4 linked regions of the Schizosaccharomyces pombe genome follow. The gene in region 3 interacts genetically with the main gene of each other region. Each region holds a gene or a part of one and is shown on either strand. Other genes may lie near its edges. The genes, in order: plb1, rsv2, ubp11 and vrp1.

Region 1 (4,770 bases), on a different chromosome or scaffold from region 3:
GCCTAAATGTACTCCACGTCATGGAGGGAAAGGTAACTTGGAAGGTTAGCCCCACACTTTCCTTAACCCCATTATCTCCATTTTTCAATGATGTCAACGTAAAAGGTGGAAGCTCGCTTGTTCCGAATGACGGCGAATAGAAACGTAGAATTTTTCAAACCGTAATTTGATTGGCGGAAGGTTTGGTTTTCATGAATGTTCTCCACACTATGGGAAAACGAGGGGAGCAAAGTGAACAAAATACTGAGAGGTGATTGGATATGTCCCACTTTTTCATGTGATGCTCCTCATTTAACTAATAATTGGTGCGAAAATTTTCTTGCTCTTGCGGTAGACATTTTTGCACTGCGCATGTGTTCCTCCATTGTTCTAGACTGCGTTCCTCTACACCACCCCGCATTTGTTCGTCCGACTTTAGGCTCTTTTCCTTCTTCCCCGCCAAACTTTTGAGCGGATACTTGCCTGATTTCTTACCGGAATGGTGAGGGGCGAACACCTTTAGAATAGTGTTTCAAACACTTTTTTTTGGGTTTTGGCGGGGTTAAACTGACGAACAACGAAGAAAAAACAAGAATTCTAACAATTTACAACAGAATCCGTAAAAAAATTAGAAGCTTGTCTGACCAGCGGTAGTATAGAAGGGTTTAAACGGTGAGTAGAGTGTTTGTATTTTTCCCCAGTGTACCTTTTGCCAGTAGACAAACATCCCATCCTTTCTTGTGGGCAGCGTTATTTTGATGATAACTCTATCCCACTATTACTCCAGTTGCTTGGATACATCGTCGCAGCTCTGGACCAATGTTGCAGTTGCTTCCTAATTTTTAGAGGGTCAGTTGCCGGTACTCACGGGGCCCCAGACATGGATTCTGTCAAGATTGTGGGGTAGATGCAAGTTGAAGTCAAAAAAATGAGAATCAAAAACTTGAAAATAAAATACATAAAATGATTTATTTTATTTTTCTTTGTATAATCCATGTAAAATTATAGACTGTATGCACTGAAACCTTGTTCCGAGCGACTGGTCCCAGGTATATAAGTGGTGCTGGTGCACAGGCATTTTCACCACCATCGCAATCAAACAACTTTCCTTGATCTGTTCATTGTTTCAAAACAAAAAATTCCGTTTTTTGGAATCCCTAATCATCTTCCTTACTTTTATTTAAATCTTAATCCATCCAAGCGAGGAATTTTGCATTTTCCTTTCTTGTGATTGCTCCCTTTTTCTTAGCTCTTTGAAAAATACCCCAAAAAAGAAAACACTAACACTCTTTCGGTTAGAGAGCGTTTTCGCATTAGTTGAATCCAAAAACATATTTTACGATCCAACACTGTGATTTGGCTTAATTTCTTTTTTCAGTGATTCCCTCATTCCTTCATCATAATTTCTCGTATCATCATCACACTTTTCTTTCCTAGTGTATCCTTTGGTGCGATTTCCGGTTTTCTCGTCGTTATTCCTTTTTAATTTTCTCTTTCTTATTACTCACTCAAACAAAAAAAGGTCGTCGTGGACTTTTTAAATCGTTGTACTTTTAGCACTTTCCTACATCTTCCTTTTGAATATTTATTATTTATCCTTTAGGGAAAAGATTTTATTCATTTTGAACCTTTGCATTAAACTTCGTTTGCCAGGTTCTTTCATTTTGTTTTTAGTCCCGTTTTCCTGCCTTCTTTAGTTCTATCTATTGTGGGGTTTGTGTTTTCGTCCACTATTTGCAAATTCTAGGTTTTTGTTACTTTACCACTTTTTCCTCTCCGACTTACGGAATAGTATCAGTCCGAGATCTTGATTGGGTGTCATTCGGAAAGTAATACACTCGTGTGACGTTTATTAAATTTTTTTTCTTATATACCCTTTCCGTCCCACTCCCAACTTTGAACGTTCATTTGGGGATTTAATTTGCATACATCTTTGCATATCTATTCTCAACATTTTAGTTTAAATATTCAAAATGCTTTTCCGCGGATTAAGCCTGTGGATGCTCTTTTTGGCATCCTGCCTTTCTGCCCTTGCTCTTCCCGCTGCTGAAGACGATGGTTCTGTCAAGGTCTTCAAGCGTGCCAAGAAGCATAGCACTAAGCAAGAGGGACCCAGTTACGCTCCTTATTATGTGGACTGTCCCTCTGATAACATTGTCGAGAGTCTCTCCAGCAATGAGATTCCTAGCGCCGAGTCTGAATACTTGAGCACTCGTTCTACTATTACCAACACTGCCATGAAGGACTTCCTTCGTAACGCCAACTTGCCTGGTTTGAATGCCGATACTCTTTCTGGCTCTGAAGGTCCTTCTATCGGTATTGCCTTGTCCGGTGGTGGTTTACGTGCCATGATTTTGGGTTCTGGTGCCCTCTCTGCCATGGATGCTCGTCACGACAACCACACTGTTTTGACTGGTCTCCTTCAAGCCTCTGACTATCTCGTTGGTACTGATGGTAGTGCCTGGACTGTTGGTGGCATTGCTCTCAACAATTTCAGTACCATTAACGACTTTAGCAAACTTTGGGCTTTCAACCACCCTTTGATGTATCCCAAGAGTGCTATTGTTTTCAACGCTCATTTCTACAGTTCTATTATGAATGAAGTTGCCGAAAAGGCCAATGCTGGCTTTAACATCAGTCTTTCCGATTACTGGGGACGTGTGATTTCTCGTACCCTTGGTGACACTACTTATGGTTTCCCTAATGTCTCTTTGTCTAGTATTACTTCCCAAGAATGGTACCGCAATGCCAACTTCCCTTACCCCATCATTACCTTTGCTACCCAAAACTATGGTGAGGATATTAGCAATGTTAACACTACTTTCTTTGAAGCTTCCCCCAACGTTTTCGGTACCTTTGACCATGGAATCAACTCCTTTATTCCTACCGAATACTTGGGTACTACCTTAAACAATGGTGCTAGCAGCAATGGTTCTTGCGTTATCAACTATGACAACTTTGGTTTCATGATGGGTGCTTCTTCTACTTACTTCAACAAGATAATGCGTAACTTCAATGACTCTTCTACCAAGAACGGTCGTATCATCCAACAATACTTGAAAGGTAACTTTTCTGAAAACGGTCAACAAATCATCTCCATTCCCAACCCCTTCCAAGGTGTTGAGAGTGCTAATTCTGATGCTGCCAACAACTTGGGTTCCAGCTCTTCCCTTAACTTAGTTGATACCTTCCTTACTGGTGAGAAGATTCCTTTGTGGCCTTTGTTGCAAAAGGGTCGTGATGTCGATGTTATCGTTGCCGTTGACAATGGTGATGACAGTGAATGGCTCTGGCCCAACGGTAACTCTCTTGTCCAAACTTATGAGCGTGTCGTTGCTGCCCAAGCTGCCGGAAACACCAATGTTAAGGGTTTCCCCTACGTTCCTAGCCAACAATCCTTTGTCAGTCTTCACTTCAACGATCGCCCTGTCTTCTTTGGTTGTGATGGTCGTAACACCACTGCTGGTAACCACACTGTTACCCGTGACACTCCTCCTTTGGTTATCTATCTTCCCAACGTTCCTTACAACTACTTCACTAACATTTCCACTGATCGCACCTACTACACTGAAGACATGATTCAACAACTTCTTACCAACGGCCTTATTTCCTCTACCGTTGACAATGACACCTACTTTGGTCAATGTTTTGCCTGTGCCGTTGTTAAGCGTACTTTGGAGCGTAACAACATCACTGCTAGCCCCGAGTGCCAACAATGCTACTATAACTACTGCTGGAGCGGTCTTTATGATGACAGCGCTGCTAATGATGATATTGTCTACAATCCTACTTGCCGTCTTGGTGAAGGCATTTAAGGAAAGGCGCATGCAAACTTTTCTCTCTTCAGTATTTATACGACATATCTGTTGCTCACAAGCAAAAGATAGAGGGCAATGCTTATGCCTGGAAAAAAGTTTTTAAAAAAAATCTATACAATGTCTGCTGTCTTAGCATAAATCAAACCTAGCCATATATGTGAATCAATCCAATTACGCGATATGGGTTTTTGTTAACGGATTATTAAACTGAACGTTCACTCCGCTCTAATTAGGGAGACTATTTTGTTATCTTCCGAAAGTATTTTATTCTAATTTACCCTCTCTTCGGAATGTTTTTTGTTCATTTTCTATTGTGAGCTTTCGTTTGCTGTAATTCAGTTTTGTTGACGGCTCCAAATTGGACGTGTTCTAGTTGTTTATGAGAGTTGCTGTTATATATAGTTGCGAAAATAAGTCATTTTTTTAATTCTTGGTTGTAATAAGAATGTTGTTTGTCTATATAAATAAGTTGACTGTAATTTTTTTGTTTTGTTTGATTCAAAAAATTATTATTTATATGTATATATTTTGTATGATAAAATTTGATTTTTAAAGGTTTGCTATACTTGAACAAGGAATAGTGAACTTTAACATACAGCCTATAATTCATTAATTAGGATGAGGAAGGAGATGTAGAAATGAAAAAATTTAGTTAACGTAAAACAGATTATACGATCATTTACAAATTATATCAACTGTACGCAATTTAATCAATGAAGTAGTGGGGATGTAGATGAGACAGTATAGAATACATCACAACGAGTAATGGGAGAAAAAAATTGTAGTAGTTGCGCGGGTTTTGCTCGGCCTCGGGCTTTACTTTCTAATCCGATGACTGTGAGTTACGTGTTTTGCAAAATTATTTAGCAAGTGTGCATTTTATGCTTTAAGTCTAAACGAAATGGGATCCGAGTTAACTTTAAGTTGAGGCTTTGCTTTTGATATAGGTATGCGCATGCGATTTACAAAAATC
Region 2 (4,581 bases), 1.9 Mb from region 3:
CTATTTAAATCGACAAGAACTGGCTATACCAAAAACTTTACGTAGCAAAAGTATTCCACAACACTCTTGGGTATTCACACCTACACCTATTATGGTGTTTCGCTATTCAGCATTAATGTTTAATGCTCATATGATCCATTGGAATGCGACATACGCTACAAAGTCCGAAAATTATCCAAATCTCGTTCTTCCAGGTCCTCTTCTAGTGACTAGTATGTTAGAGTACTTTCGTTCTGTTTATCCCCAAATGTCAAAGAACATGAAAAGATTTGAGTTTCGATTATTATCTCCCGCGTTTGTCAATCAACCACTACGCATATGTATCTCAGAGACAGGTAACCTATGGATTGATCGATTTACTACAGACCTTGATCCACCGTCTTTGATTGCTAGAGGCCGCGTCTATACCTAACATAACTGAAAAACAATAATAATTAATACCGGCAGAAAAAATATTTCTAAATTACAAATACTACTTACTAATATTAAAATTTAAGTATGTAAAACTAAATCAAATTACATGATAGGTATTCAATTTAAGGTGAAAACACACAAAATTTTTTATTAACATTTAACAGTAACTTGGTAAGAAAAAAAAAACAATATTAACCAATCCCAATAAAAATGAAAACAAAATATAAAAACACTTATGACCGTCCAAAATAAAAAAGGAAACCGTTAGACGGAGAAGGGGTTTGAAATTACACATGAAGCTTGAGGATACGATGAAATGAAGAGGCAAAATTAAGATGATAAATGTACATGAAAGGAGACAAAGGAAAAAGCACTTTCAAAAGGGCTGTGAAATAATAACGGTACCAATTTTTTTCTTGAAAATAATTAGCAAAATGCAACTTTTTTTAAAATTCATAAACAAGGAATCAATGAAGAAGCGTAAGAGGTGAAAAATGACAATAGATAATGCAATAACCTTTTTTTAATATTTGTGGCAGAAGAGACTCCTTTCAATTTATCTACCGTGTTTCACACGGAGATGCCTAACCAAGGCATCATGTCTACTGAAATGGCGTTGATCGCCACAAATCTCACATCGAAATACAGGTCGTGTCTTAGCATGTATCGTATCCTGGTGACGGATCAAATCATACGTCCTAGAAAACACTGTGTTACAAATTTCTCCTGTAACTCTGTTCTGAAGAGTACACCGAACTGGACCAATTTGTTTACCAAATTTAAACTTCCTACGCTTCCTCTGAGCACCCGTAGCAGTAGTAGAAGAATTTGTAGGAGTGGTGTCAACAGGAGCAGATCCGTTGGGGCCATCAGCAGCAGCACCGGTGATGCTTACTTTTTGGTTGGTTGGATTAGGTACCACGGAATGAGAAGACCTAGTATTGTAATACGACTTAACGTCATTTAGGTCATGAGTAGCAGCCGATTGAGAGTGAGGAGCGTTGGAACTGTCTAACTCTGAAGTCGGTAATAAGTTAGGTATATTAGCAGAGGTTTTAACAGGAGAAGTGAGTGGAGGAGAGGAGCTGATCGTAGTATTTGAAGGTACGACAACAGGAGGCTGTGAAGGAGAAAGTGAATGTGGATTTACCGACGTACCAAGCACCAAGGAGGGGCGATGCTTGGCATTGTATGATCGCGTTATCGGAGGAGACAAAGAAGGGATGCGTTGTTTAATAGATTCTTTATTGAAGCTGTCCTGCCGAACATCGGAGTGCATGTTATCATTGACCATAGATACATCCTTCCCATCATATATCTGAGCGGAGTTTTCTTGAGGAAGAAGAGAGTCAGCAGCAGCTCCCAGAGCATGAGAACGGCGTAACGCAGTGCTCGTCGCCGAGTCCTTCATAGGATGCGCCCGCACTTCCGGATTTTGTTCCATACGGGATTGAAGTCCCGTTGGAGATACAAGGGAGGAATCCTTGTTGTCGGTATAAAGGTTCTTAGAGGAATCAAAATTTTGGGTCTTGAGAGGATTGTTAAGGGTAGAGGGATTTGCTTGGTGTTGAGGTGAGACATCTTTTGAGACTCTGTCTGACTTTTGATTGTGACCCAGTGACCTTTTTAAGTCACTTCCATTCTCCAAATAATCGGTTGAAAAAGGACCACTAGGAAGAGAGGCGTCCTTTACAAGTTGTTCGGAGACAGAGTCACTTGCATCCATGGATATCGAGGGCAACGGTTCCATATCCAAAGGTGGAGAATTCATGGGAAATGGATTACCGTTGATGTCGGAAATCGCGCCAGTGCCATCAGCAATCACCTGACTAGGTAAATCGAAAGAGTTGGAGAAGGGCTGGTCATTAATGGTGGAAGCAGATGGAGTAAGAGGAGGAGGGACGGACATGCTTGCAGATGCGTTACTCCCAGCATTTCCACTGGGGGAACTGTTAGCAGTAATAATGTGATTCGTTTGAGCCGAGGTAGGTTCGTTCGACCCGTTGACAGGAGGTGTGGTGATAAATTGATGATTGCTGCCAAGGGACGAAGGGACACTTGGAAAGTTAGCAGCGTTACCATAGTCAGATGCTAAGGGATCAAATGGCATGTCCATCGAGGAATCGGGAATAGTGTCGAGGGAGAAGGGGTCCATTGTGTCAGCATCGTTGTAGACACGAATGGGAACGTTCATCATATAGTCCCAGGAGGACATATCAGATAAATCTGAGTTATTTTCTTCTAACGTAGTAGGGTTAAAACGCTTTAAATTGAGTTCGGGCATCGAGATTTGCTCGAATTCAGCATCCGAGAATGCATTCGGAAATACATTAGTCACAGAGCGACCATTCATTTTGGATTTACGATTTTGTTGCAATTGGGATCCATTAAATTGCCAATCTGGAGTGGGAAAGTTATCGTTCCCATTACTAGAAATTGATCTTGCATATGTGTTGTTTGTAGTGTCCATACTACCCAGCAAAGATGCGCGAGGCAATGTATATATAAAGAATGACGTCAAGCGTCTGATTGAAAAAACCACCCTTGTCAAACAACATTGGTTAGCAATTGACGTCGTTTTACATTGATTGAGCCAATCAGAGGCCGCCAATGAAGTAGCATGGAAATGTCAGAATGCGCTGGCAGTGCTGCTGATTCGTTCTTTTCAAATAAAAGCGCGTAATGTGTAAGCGAACCCCAATTACATTCCTTCAATCTGCGACTTGCGCTCTACGCTGTCCTCTCATATGGAAAGCGAGCTTCCAGTACTTAAATCACCTTATATATCGCGGTTAGTCATAACGCACTAATGAAGGAATACGCTGCAAGCTTCATTCCAAAAGCAATCATAGAATGAGGTCAAAATGAAGAGGCGGAGTCGGGGAAAGATGAGATTGAAGGATGAATCAAGTCCACGATACTTTTAGGTCATATCACGACGTTGATTTGCATCTTACTCTAGTTACTCGTACTTTAGAGATGCGATGGAATTGAGGATGTTTGGTACAACAAATGTCTTGTTTTTCGTTTGCGCCGTGTCACGCTACTCCTAAGATAGCAGCTAAATGAAAAGTCTAAAAACGCTAAAAAAATTTCCTCCCTACATGTTCAAGTCAATCAAGTGCTTCATGTTCCCGATCACCATATCGGCATCGCAATGCAGACCTCGATTGCTTACTTAAACTCGGTAATCTCGTCTTCCGTTACCCTACATGATCACGGAATTCATCAAGTCGTTTTTACTTTTTTTTTTCCTTCCCTTCTTTCTTTCGATGCCGATGATCTTCGCTACTCTGGGGGAGTTTACCGACGATCAAACTCATCATTATTCCACGCTTCCGTCGTGTGACCTTCTCCTTATTCGTGGAGAAGTTAAAGAAAATGCCAGATGCTTCTTGCATAACCCAAAAATTAGTCATCAGCATCATTCTTTCTGGTCCTTAATAGAAGGATGTTTGGAGGCGCTGCAATTTGGCTTACTAGCAATTCTTCAGGGATTATTTTCTCAGTTTGCATGGGAAGCCTGCTCTTGTACCTTTGCATGCATGCTTCTTACTAGCGAACGTACTGAACCGTCTTATCCGTTTTCCGAGATTACAGAGGTCAGTCGTGGTGGGTTGCACTTCGTTAAGTTGAATTAAGTATGCTTAACTCAGGTGAAGTCAATTTGTCGATGTCGATGAGATTGGCTAGTACACGAAGGGGATGCGGAGCTGCTAAGCAGAGGAGTGATTTAACTATGAAACCAATTCGTAGGATAAAGTATACTTTACCGATCGATATGGATGATGCAGATGTAGGAATCAATTATTCTACTTTCTTGTGAAAAGCATAACCCATGTGTATTATTTTCAAACAAGTCAAACAGATGGATAGCCAACACGCATATGACTGCTTACTCAAGTACAAATGACTTTTAGAGCATACCAATTTCAACAGACTTTTATCACTAGTGCAACTATCTTTTTATCAGTTGTAGTCTTTCAAACATCAATAATCACTGGCATTCACACACGGCAATACCAATCATTATGTTATTACGAGAACAACTCGTGAACAAATGGATTCCAGTGTGTTCTAGCATACACATAAATGTCTCGTCTTTCTACTTTATTATTTAGTCGATGAGTGGAACAATTAATAAACTTACCATTCAATATTGCACTG
Region 3 (4,669 bases):
TATGTGCGGGTATGATCATTGAGTAGAATTAAATGAGTATATGATAAAAGACTGACCATCAGATTGCGGAGCGCGTAATACAATCCAAGCGAAAGAAGTTATTCGTTGTCGAGAGTGTGGGCATCGTGTTATGTACAAAATGAGAACCAAGAGAATGGTTCAGTTCGAAGCACGCTAAGTTTTAGAGTTTTCAGACTATGAAAAGAGAAAAACGGAATTATAACTTTTAAAATTTGAGAAATGGCTTAAAAATGGTGTAATATGCAGGTCCTTATGCTTAATTCGAGAAATTAGAAGGTCCTGGGGTTAAATGGATAACCCATGACAATAATAACATTTTGGATATTTGATGCATTAAAAACTGTGAATTGTACATGATGAGTATATCTAAAATTTTTTTTAGTAAATTATAAGTCATTTGGCGACGGTTTGAAAGTGCCATGTGTACTTTAACCATGCCTATAAAAAATCGTCCACTTGAAAATCTTAAAGTCAAGAAAACCGATTTTATGGACAGATACGGTGGATACATACATACATATATTTTCATACACAAGTTTTGCAAAATATTAGTATTGAATGCTTTAGCTACAAAACAACAGGTTATAATTTGAAGCTTTCAACAGTTTATAAAGGGTGACATCAGTCGGAATCATTAGGAGAAATATCAAGAATTTTTTATTAAGGTACAAAAACGTATACGATTAACTAGCATATATGCGCTAATCAAGCGCAAGAGGAGATTCCATTTCGTAAAACAAAAGACAAGCTGAACGAGTTTGACTGAGAGCTTCATTGAGAGATGATTTAGTAATTAAAGAATCATTAGCCTTCCACCAAATGTCATCTTGAAGTCTATAGCAAAGATAATGACCATAAGTAACACTTCCGGAATGGGTGATTAAGGATCGTAAAATATAATGATGTTTGTTTTTTAGGATAAGTTTGCTAGGAAATGAGATAGAAACATTATTTCTGGTTAAACCTTGGCAGGTATATGATGTTCTCTCAAGTTGAATTTGCAAAATCGTAGGAGGATTTTTCCAATCAACGGTACGAATGCATGAAGTTTTGGAATGTTTTGGGGAGGATTTGAAGCAAGAGTCACATTTATAGTCAGAGATGTGCTGTTCGCGATCGGCTTCCATTAAAGAGAGCAAGGAAACGTTAGAATTTCCACTGTACTCCGGAGGTAGACAAAGCTGTATCGATGTGGCAGTAGAATAACTAATACTAATGGCAAGGCATTGACAACATTGTACCTTTTGCTCCATAGTTCCTATGAATGGCGAATCTACAGGAAAGGAGAGTACCTTCGACCATTTGTAAGTGTGAGGTTTTTGAAGTTCCAAAGTTTCCACTAGATGTTGTAGAAACTCTTGTGCATCTTGTTGAATGGAACGAACAAGTTTTTTATTAGTGGCAATCTCTAATGAATTGAGGAAGGAACCGGGAGTGATTGGATTACCGGGGCCACTATTTAATTTTTGCAGAAGTTCATAAAGGGTAGCGTATAAGGTAGAGGAAGAACAACGGAGTTTTAGGATTTCCAATAATGATTCTTGACTTGCTAGGGATTGCAAAACACAATTGAGGAAACAATCGTTACCCGAAACATTGTAAAGGCCTTTGATGGAGGCGTTTTTCACCAACCTCTTGCCAGTGGAAGGAGAGGTAACGATGTAAAGGGCAGCAAACGTAGTTAAAATGGCGGCACCCTTGAAAACTGTTTTGTATTTTTTTGCCCTAGAAATGGACAATGGCGTTGTAGACATGATAATGAATGCATGCAATGAAGAATTAGGGAAAAGAAATTATTAGAGGTAACAGAGAATATAATTTACAAAAGAAAAAAAAAATTTATGCATAAAAACAAATTTTTTTTGGCAAGGGAAATAAGAATAGAAGACGAGCGTTAAGTCACAGCATATATCCACTAGGTTGTTGTTACTAGCTTTATTGGTATAAACGATAACACGAGTCCAATGGCGGTGAGGTAAAGGACACGATAATAACGTACAATATAGGTATAGTTAGGGAGACGAGGTAATAAGAACCAAACTTTTTGAGCATAAAACAACCTTTTTAGGAAATAATCAGTGATAGGATGAGTAAAAGTTTGAAAGTTTTACAAAGGCAAATTTAAAAAAAAAAACAGTTGTCAAAAAAAGTGTCAGCAATTAGAATGTTGTCGAGTAATGCGACAAAAGACACAAATATTACTTTTTGGGAGGAGGGAGTCAATAAATAAATAGATAAAGTTGAAAGTGGTAGAATGATTTTACCTTTGCAATTTTAGCGATCGCAATAGATGAAATAGGCGATAAGATATGAAAGGATAAAAAAGAAAAAGAAATTAAAAAACGTTAGGAAGTAATTGTAGAGAAATGAAATAGCACAATTTAAAAAAAAAAAAATAAGAAAAGAGAAAAAAAAAGTATAGCGATCCTATCAAAGAGAATAAATTACGATGGAATCAAGAACAAGAAAAAAGGCAAGAGGCGTCTATAAGAAACAGACAAAAGTTTTTTCGAAGAAGAAAAAAAAAGGGATCCAAAAAAGATGGGAGATTTTTTTCACTTGATTATGTGTGAAGGATTTTTTGTAAGGTAAGATTAGACGATGGGGAGGCAGTGCCGATTTGTCGGTATGGATTGTTTTTTGATGGAGAAATTAAGATAAAAGTAAAGGTATTAAAGTTTTTGCAGAGAAAGCTCACTCATTCACAAGTACGACACAAAGCAAATAATTTGCAATCAGATATGTGTATAAAAGAGCAACCTTTAGAGAAAAAAAGCAGGTTGGAAGAGAGGGACAGGAGGGCCAAACCCTCAGCATAAATATGCGCCTGATGAGACGAAAAAAAGGTTTTTTGCATTGGCAGCGACGTTTGTATTTGCCGGCAAGCCCAAGGGGTTGCAATGATGCGTAAAAGCGACGATTGGTGGAAGAAGGAAAAGAATGAAGTTTTATTTGTGCAGCCCTCCGCATACCAGTTAGGGAGATGCAACATGATTTGTTAGGGAGAAGAGAGGGAGGACAAGGAGGACGAGTAGGAAAGAAGGTGAAGTGGAGGAAGAATAGGGAGGAAGAAGGAGAAAGAAGGAAGAGTAAGGAGAGGGAAAGAGAAGGAAGGAGAAGGGAGAAGGAACAAAAGGAAGACGTTGAAGGTATGACAAGAGAACAAGCGGTACATTCTTTTTGTAATGTCAATAACTTTTGAATTTTACTTTTGAATGATTAACCATAATAAATTCATTTGCCAATGCAAAAAAAAACTAGCAAAGGATGGGCAGTTGATGAAGCATATATTCAACGAAGCATAGCAAAAAGTTATCTCTTTTCTCCATCCATCATCGGTGTTTGATGTCTGCCGTCAGTATGTTAGGTGTTGCCTCTGACTGTATATATGGACGGGATTGCAGACAAAGAAAAGAAACAAAAGGGCTTGTCGCATTGTTTACATTCGAGAAAAATTTACGTCACCCAAGAACACGTTGAAGCGATATCAGACACGGCAAATGTCAGTTGTATGATTGGTTAGTTGATGTGAATGGACAGTTTATATTGCGTAAATTGCAAATCAGATGCAATTGATTCATTTCATTGGCTGAATAAAAAAAAAGCATCCGCCAATCCAATACAGTAGTGGAATTGCGGGGTCAGTAAGGAAAACCCGGGCTCCAAGCAGTCAAGTTGCTTATGAAAAGCGTAGCCTATGGTTGATGTAGTGGTTAGGAGTTCGGAGGCTCGACCGTTAATAAGAAAGGTCAAGAATCGTAAGGGTAAAAGAAGGATGAGAATAGCAAAGCTCATAGGTAGAGAAAGACTTGTGCACGCCGAGTGTAAACAAAGAAAGGTGCGCATGCGAAGAACACATGGAGGTCTGGAAAATAAGAAGCGCATGAGTGAGGATATGTGATATGTGAGAGTTGCGTGAGCAAAGCAAAGTAGAACTCATGCCAAAGTCATGGTCTCGTCGCATGAAGGAGATCCATAAGAAAGAAAGAAAGACAAATGATAGAAAAAAAGAAAAGTAAAACAGAGATAGGAAATAGGAAATAGGAGAAAAAAGAAAAGACAAAGAGAAATTGGGTTGATTAGTAGAAATGAAATTGTTCAATCGTCGGACGTTGATTGTCAAACGTTAATTGTCGATTGTCGATTGTCGATTTCTAGTGTCGATTGTATTCTCCTTGATTGTCAATTGTAAAATTTCGTCTTATGTTTTCGTCAACTCTCGCCTATCTCTTAATTGTTAAAATCTATTCTCGTCTATCCGCAAGTACATCCCAAAGACATCAATGGAAAGATGTGGTAAAAATTAATCAACAAATTTTTTTTTTTGAAGTCCAACTTTTCATATCCTTCAAACCTACTTTACAACTCCTTTTCGCACCTCCTTTCCTTTCTTTCCACTCCCCTTCTATATCCCCACTTATTCCCTTCTTTATCAGCTATCTCGCTGTCTACCCTGCGATCGCCGCTACCATCGTACCGTACATTGACATTTGCTAATCTGACAACTTGGTATATTGATGAATGCGCCATTTACAAATTGATCGACTTCCTTACCTTTTCTGCTTTTCTGTCTTTGGCTTGCGTTGCCTTGCTTTACTTTATTTTTTTGTTTTGCATTTCTAATTTTTGTTTTCTTTTTTTCCATTCT
Region 4 (6,092 bases), 1.4 Mb from region 3:
ACAATTCTAGCCGTTCTGCTTACTCTTATATTAACAACGGTCAAGCAGGCTCTTCCAAAGGTAACCGATATGATAGTTTGTGGTAGGAACTCATATCACGCTTTAATGATCACAGAAATACATCTCAACACCTAATCCGCCATATTTGCTTTAAAAAAAGTAGTTTTATTTTATATAGTTGCTCACTACAATTCTCGCTATTGTACATGTGAATCCCATTGCGTTAAAAATTAGACAAGATATAAGAATAATGTACAATTAATAAACATCTTTTAAATCAACGAAATAACACAGAGACCATACTTCGCAAACAAACAAATTGGCTATTTACAAAAATTGAATTACAAGCTGTTTGGATTTATTCGCTATCGCTCTCAACAATCCGACGCTTCACTCTTCTTTGTACAGAACCATCACCGACAGAAGTCTCTGTAACGGTCTCGGATCTGTCAGTTTCCACTGCGCTAGGAATTACCTCATCGTCTTCATATTTATTAATAGTAGCTCGTGCTACACTTGCTTCTTTATCCGCATCAAATCCTTTTATATCGGAGCCAGCTCCAACTTCTTCTTCATCCTCTTCATCTTCTTCTTGTTCCTCTTCTTGTTCCTCTTCCTCTTCCTCTTCCGCTATAAAGTCACCAAGGTCATCTTCTTCATTTTCTTCCAGATCCTTATTATAACCACGATATTGACCAGCTCCTTCTTGTTTAATTCGTTTTAAACGATCCATACGGTCACTGTCAATGATTTCATTTTGTTCGCTATAAGTAGAACGGGGACCGTAGAAGGAAGAGTAATCCTCTTCTTCTTCTCCTGTTCCATTCTGATAATTGTTCAATTGCTTTCTTTTCTCTAAACGTCGCCGAGCTCGACTTCGTTCCTCCTCATATTTTTCAGCCTGACGCTTTAGTAGTTCTGGATCCTTTTCAATAATAATTTCTTGTACGCTTCGACTAGGAACCTGGACTGTGGTGAGACGCATAGATGGCAATTTTGATCTTGTAGCAGTGTTAATGGCTGAAGGGAGGAATGTAAAACTGCTTTTGAAGGATGTTTGAACTCTCAGTAAATGTTGTGCTTCATGTGAGGCAGTAACAAAAGTTGGTTGAGATATTAATTTATTTTGGGTATCATATATGTCGTTACCAATGCGAAGTGAATATGAACCATCAGACCATTGTACAATTTGCGCATTCGATTGATAGCTTCCAGACGGCCCCAATCGCCAGCGGACAGTATTATCAACTTTATGTTTTATTCTTTGACCCCAATGCGCGTCGTGTTCTAATAAAGCTGCATCTGCTTCGGCTTCCGCGGCGTACTGCTCTGGATCGTACGGAGTCTGTTCCACAGAAAGGAAATTTGGAATATGAGCATGAAACACGTCATTACTAGCAGAAGCTGGTGATTTGAAATTGGGAACAGCGACTTCAAGGACTTTCTTTACAGGAACACTAACATTTGTTAGGATGCATAGATTTAAATAGCTTGCTATAGTAAAAGACGCTAATTTTTGATTTTTTACTAAAAAGCCTCATGAAGCGATTTATTACTTTCACCACTGTGGCAGCTGTATAATAAATACACATTTAGAACTACCATCGGCTAGAATCAATTCGCTTCATCTATAAGACTGCAACTTACTCTGCTTCAGGGGCTTCAGTAGCCTCTTCTGTATTCGAAAACAAGCCGTCATCGCTAACGGCTGTTTCACTATCGTTTTCTATATGGCCATTTATAAGTTCATCTTGCTGCGAAGTATGATTGTCTTCATTCTCACTAAACAAATCATCTTCCTCTTGACCGTTGCGGATGTCTTCTTTAGAATCCGACATTAAATCTATTTAAATTCCTCAAAAATTCACCAGTCTAAACTTTCCAGATTGGTTCCGGTCAGAATACGTATGGTGTTGTACTAAGATGCATTAAATTGAATAATCACTAGAAGGTACAATCCTGTTACTTGTAGTGCATGGTGGTGGTAGAAAGCTTAGGGTAGCTCATAGTTAAAACCCATACCCGTGTTTCCACTTTATATTTTGAGTTATATTTATTATTGTCAAAGTATATAGCGAATATTTTTTGTAAAATCATTTAAAATCTGATAATTTAACTTTTACTTTTATTGTATTGTTAGGTGTACAGGCGAATTATCTACTATTTTGATTACAGACCTCAAGCTTGTTAAGATTTATTTTTGATTTTTAATTCTTCCTTCTTATAAAATGGCACCTGCACCACCGCCTCCTCCTCCAGCACCAGCGCCTGCTGCTGCTGCTCCGGCCCCCCCTCTAATGACCGGAGATCGATCAGCTCTGCTCAATTCTATCCAGAAAGGAAAGAAACTAAAAAAAGCTACAACGAACGACCGATCGGCTCCCGTTGTCGGAGGAGGTGTCGTAGGCGAACGTAAATCTAACACTCCAAAAAGCTTTGCTGCTCCTCCTGTACCCACAGGCGCACCCTCTTTACCGACTTCTTCAAATAATACTCAGCAAGCAGAAGAGAGACCTTCCATGCCTGCATTAGGAGGTTTATTTGCTGGCGGCATGCCTAAGCTTCGTCATATTGGAAAGTCAAGTGCTTCAGCCGCACCACCTTCCGCTCCTGCTCCTCCTACTCCACAATCTGAGTTGCGTCCGCCAACAAGTGCGCCCCCTCGACCTTCAATTCCTCCACCATCTCCTGCATCTGCTCCACCTATTCCTTCAAAGGCACCTCCTATTCCATCGTCTCTACCTCCACCTGCACAACCTGCTGCACCGGTGAAATCTCCTCCTTCAGCTCCTTCATTGCCCTCAGCGGTACCTCCGATGCCACCTAAAGTTCCTCCACCTCCTCTATCTCAAGCTCCTGTTGCTAATACATCATCACGCCCTTCTTCTTTTGCTCCACCAGCAGGACATGCACCTAACGTTACATCAGAATCTCCTAAATTTCCTAATAGAGGTCCATCCATTCCTTCAGCTTCTGTTCCTCCAGTTCCTCCATCTTCTTACGTCTTGCAGCAGCGACCTAATCGTGGTAAGTTTGCGATCATTAAAAGCATTATTTTTTTATTAACACAAAACTCTAGTTGATGATCATGGAAGATTCCACTTTAAGGATGATAGTTACTTACCAATTCCTCATCCCTTTCTTGGAGTCCCTAAAGTTTATCGGGGTGGTAGTGGCACTACGGTCCCTTTGAATCTCTCTTCATTTTAACAAATCTTTTTAAAGCTGTGTACGATTAATCTACTACCAGTGTTTAGTTGTTAAACACAGAATTTTCTTTCGTTAGATGGATACTAATAATTACTCAGTGATAGAAAAAAACTAAAAATTCATGCGGCCTTTTTTATGAATATTAAAATTATTTATAAAGATTCATTAATCCTTATAAATAAATCGTTAAATAAACTCTAAAATTAATAAATTAATGTATAAAAAAGGATTATCGTACAACAAAAAAACGAATGTTCTTAAATAGCCCCAAAAAACTCCCAATTGCCCAAATTTAGTAAAAAGTTACGACTGCTCTTCGTCAAATAACATATCCAAAGCTTCATAGTTGATTTTTTTTGAAAAAGCTCTTTGTTGCATCATTTCTTTTGCACTTTCAGCAGCAGTATCGGCTATTCCATCACTAGTGCTATCTCTAGGACGATATCGTCTTCTTTTACGAGGTTGTCGGACAATTCCTTTTTTTAAATCTTCTTGGAGTTTTAAATTTTTCGCCTCTTCCTCAGCTAAATAATCTTTATTCAACTCCATCCAAACTTGAGTTTTAGTCAATATTTCATCCTTGTCAAGCAAAATATCTTCAATTTCATCATCATCAACGTCTTCTAAGGTAACTTCTTCCTCCGAAAATTTAACGTTAACTTGTAGAGAAATCTTTCTAAGTTCATCGCCCTTAAGGGTTTCAGTAACCTCTTTCCTAATTTCTCTTTCATCGGCCTTCAAATGCACAGGAGTTTCTTGAGATTCAACTTTTACTGTTTGCGAAAGCTCTTCAGACTTAACTTCGTTGCCATCAAAATCCGGGGTCCTTTTAATAGGGGACATGTATTCTTGTGTGTGATCAATGTTTGAAACTTTTTGAGCACCGTATTGTTGAAACTTTTGATTTTTAGTAAAGCTAGGAGGATCGCTCTGTCCTTCCAGCCAAATGTTTCGAAAGTCGGCGATTGAAAGATCACCGCTCTCAGTTAATTTAAACTCATCAAGGCGTTTTTGAATAGTGATATCCGCAACTTTCACGACATGAACCACTTCTCGTACGCTTCGTCGAAAATTATTCATTCTTGCTGCAATGAGTAAGCATGCACCACAAATTCCAGCTGGCCGACGACCAATTTGCATCCAGTCTCTATTCATTCGCGCTACCAATCTGATAGCGTCGTTTGCGACACGATGTGTTTCCGGTCCAAATTCGAGTAAAGAAGCAAATCTACTGATATATAAAGACGGATCTAAAAGAGGTAAATTAGGCCTTAAAACGCGGCACAACTTGAGAAAAGTAGACCCAAGCTTAAAAACGTTAATTTGCAAAATATCAGAAAAATCGATTAACATATGAGACGTCTTAGATATCCGGCAAACAATATACAAACAGGATGCAACAACGTATTGCGATCTCCTTCCTTTTATAAAGTTGTTGTTAATTGCCAGTGTAAAGTAGCGAACTGCTGCTTCGATATGGCGTTCGTTAAGTTTTAAAGCAATTGCCAATGCCGAAATTCGGCGACGTCCGTTTGCAATGGTAAGTTCTCTGGATTCTACGGATCCTTGATTTCTGTAAGGGCCACCAAAAGTCCGAGCATGAGCTAAAGCTGTGTTAGATATAAGTCGATGAAAAATATGGACGAAGAGGTGTCTATTAGTAAAAGATCAAACCAAAATTTAACACAGACTGAACAAAAAAAGGTGACTGCATCAGAACTGTAAAACACCGCATTGCTGGATGATTGCCTTCTAACTTACTTTGATCATTACTCACAAGAGAACCCTGAACAACAGCTGCACCAGTTGAAGCCTCTCCGAATGTCACTTCCGAAACAATTGCATCTTGCTCGACGACAACACCGCATTGTGTACTATTCAATGGTTAGCAGTCAATTGCCACGTTAAAATTATATAATAAAAAAAACAACTTACCAATATGTATTTCCAGAAGCGGTATCAGATTCAAAAGTAGTTGAACCGCAATTTGGACATCCCATGGCGAATAACTGAAAACACTTGGGCGTTAGCTGTTTGGGAAATGGTATTTATCAAAGATTAAGTTTAACCCACATGGAGTACTTAAGTGGGGGGGGGGGAAAGAAATATCACTGCAAATATGCATACTAGCATATATTTTAAAGGTCTACAGAGAATTTAATCGGGTTTAATTGTTTGTTATTTTATTTTGTTTTTTTGTTCTTTTTTAATGGTTTGGAAATGAAGAGCGTTAAAATAAAATTAAAAATAGTAAATTGAACTTTGCTTCTGTATATGGTATTTGGACTTTTTAGTTTAATATATATTATAACAATTTTTACTAGTAAATTCTCTAGTTTATCTCGAGCATTGCAAGTTTAGCAAATGATTAATGAATCGTGACTATATGGTTCATTAAATCTTTTTATGTTAATTAACTTGTTAAAAACATTGTTTGGCATATATATTTATATAAGATTATGCAAGTAACGTAATTAGGAGAATAAAAAGTAAGACAGAATATATAAAGAAATAACTTAAATTGCTTGAAGTTAAATAAATATTGGTAAAGATCTTAAGGTACTGTGAGAAGCGTAAGCGGATTCTTATTTCTCTATCTTAGGCAACACTAGCGTTTCTATGCATACAACCTCATAGTCCTTACTCACCTTTTCTCACATATATTTAATACGCAGATGAATCGTTTGAATTTTCAAAGTTTACTCTGGAAATTTGGACAAAAAAGGTTTTATTACAGACCATGGATCAGAATTGAAAATATTAAACCAACACCATTATGGAAACCGATTACATTTGCTGTTGGTGTTGGTTCTGCCACCTTTTATACGGCCAATTATCTCGATAAAAGAAGAAAAAACTACCCCAAAAGCTCATACGGATTT

What was found.
Region 1: mutations in ubp11 (region 3) and plb1 together harm fitness less than expected from each alone (positive genetic interaction), as found in Schizosaccharomyces pombe (one large-scale study listed by BioGRID).
Region 2: mutations in ubp11 (region 3) and rsv2 together harm fitness more than expected from each alone (negative genetic interaction), as found in Schizosaccharomyces pombe (one large-scale study listed by BioGRID).
Region 4: mutations in ubp11 (region 3) and vrp1 together harm fitness less than expected from each alone (positive genetic interaction), as found in Schizosaccharomyces pombe (one large-scale study listed by BioGRID).

The regions. Positions count from the first base shown.
Region 1 is NC_003424.3:1,073,801-1,078,570, reverse strand, and holds plb1 (lysophospholipase 1), read left to right. Parts: upstream 1-1,877; 5' UTR 1,878-1,952; coding exon 1,953-3,794; 3' UTR 3,795-4,240; downstream 4,241-4,770. Other genes in the region: SPOM_SPAC1A6.11 (uncharacterized protein), read right to left, coding at 4,717-4,770. UniProt on the Schizosaccharomyces pombe protein: Catalyzes the release of fatty acids from lysophospholipids. Required for survival under high osmolarity, for normal osmotic stress-induced gene expression, and for nutrient-mediated repression of sexual differentiation.
Region 2 is NC_003423.3:3,531,234-3,535,814, reverse strand, and holds rsv2 (DNA-binding transcription factor Rsv2), read right to left. Parts: upstream 2,888-4,581; 5' UTR 2,885-2,887; coding exon 971-2,884; 3' UTR 527-970; downstream 1-526. Other genes in the region: 3-hydroxyacyl-ACP dehydratase Htd2, read left to right, coding at 1-412; SPOM_SPBC1105.13C (uncharacterized protein), read left to right, coding at 3,627-4,055.
Region 3 is NC_003423.3:1,675,802-1,680,470, forward strand, and holds ubp11 (ubiquitin hydrolase Ubp11), read right to left. Parts: upstream 2,804-4,669; 5' UTR 1,776-2,803; coding exon 723-1,775; 3' UTR 551-722; downstream 1-550. Other genes in the region: DNA-directed RNA polymerase subunit Rpc10, read left to right, coding at 1-9, 63-178.
Region 4 is NC_003423.3:3,053,247-3,059,338, forward strand, and holds vrp1 (verprolin), read left to right. Parts: upstream 1-2,018; 5' UTR 2,019-2,228; coding exon 2,229-3,027; intron 3,028-3,079; coding exon 3,080-3,210; 3' UTR 3,211-3,513; coding exon of another isoform or gene 3,514-4,814; intron 4,815-4,829; 3' UTR 4,830-4,971; coding exon of another isoform or gene 4,972-5,084; 3' UTR 5,085-5,145; coding exon of another isoform or gene 5,146-5,210; 3' UTR 5,211-5,557; downstream 5,558-6,092. Other genes in the region: SPOM_SPBC13E7.07 (uncharacterized protein), read left to right, coding at 1-86; RNA polymerase II-associated Paf1 complex protein Leo1, read right to left, coding at 359-1,457, 1,648-1,838; transcription factor TFIIIB subunit Brf1, read right to left, coding at 3,514-4,814, 4,972-5,084, 5,146-5,210; rbd1 (rhomboid protease), read left to right, coding at 5,886-6,092.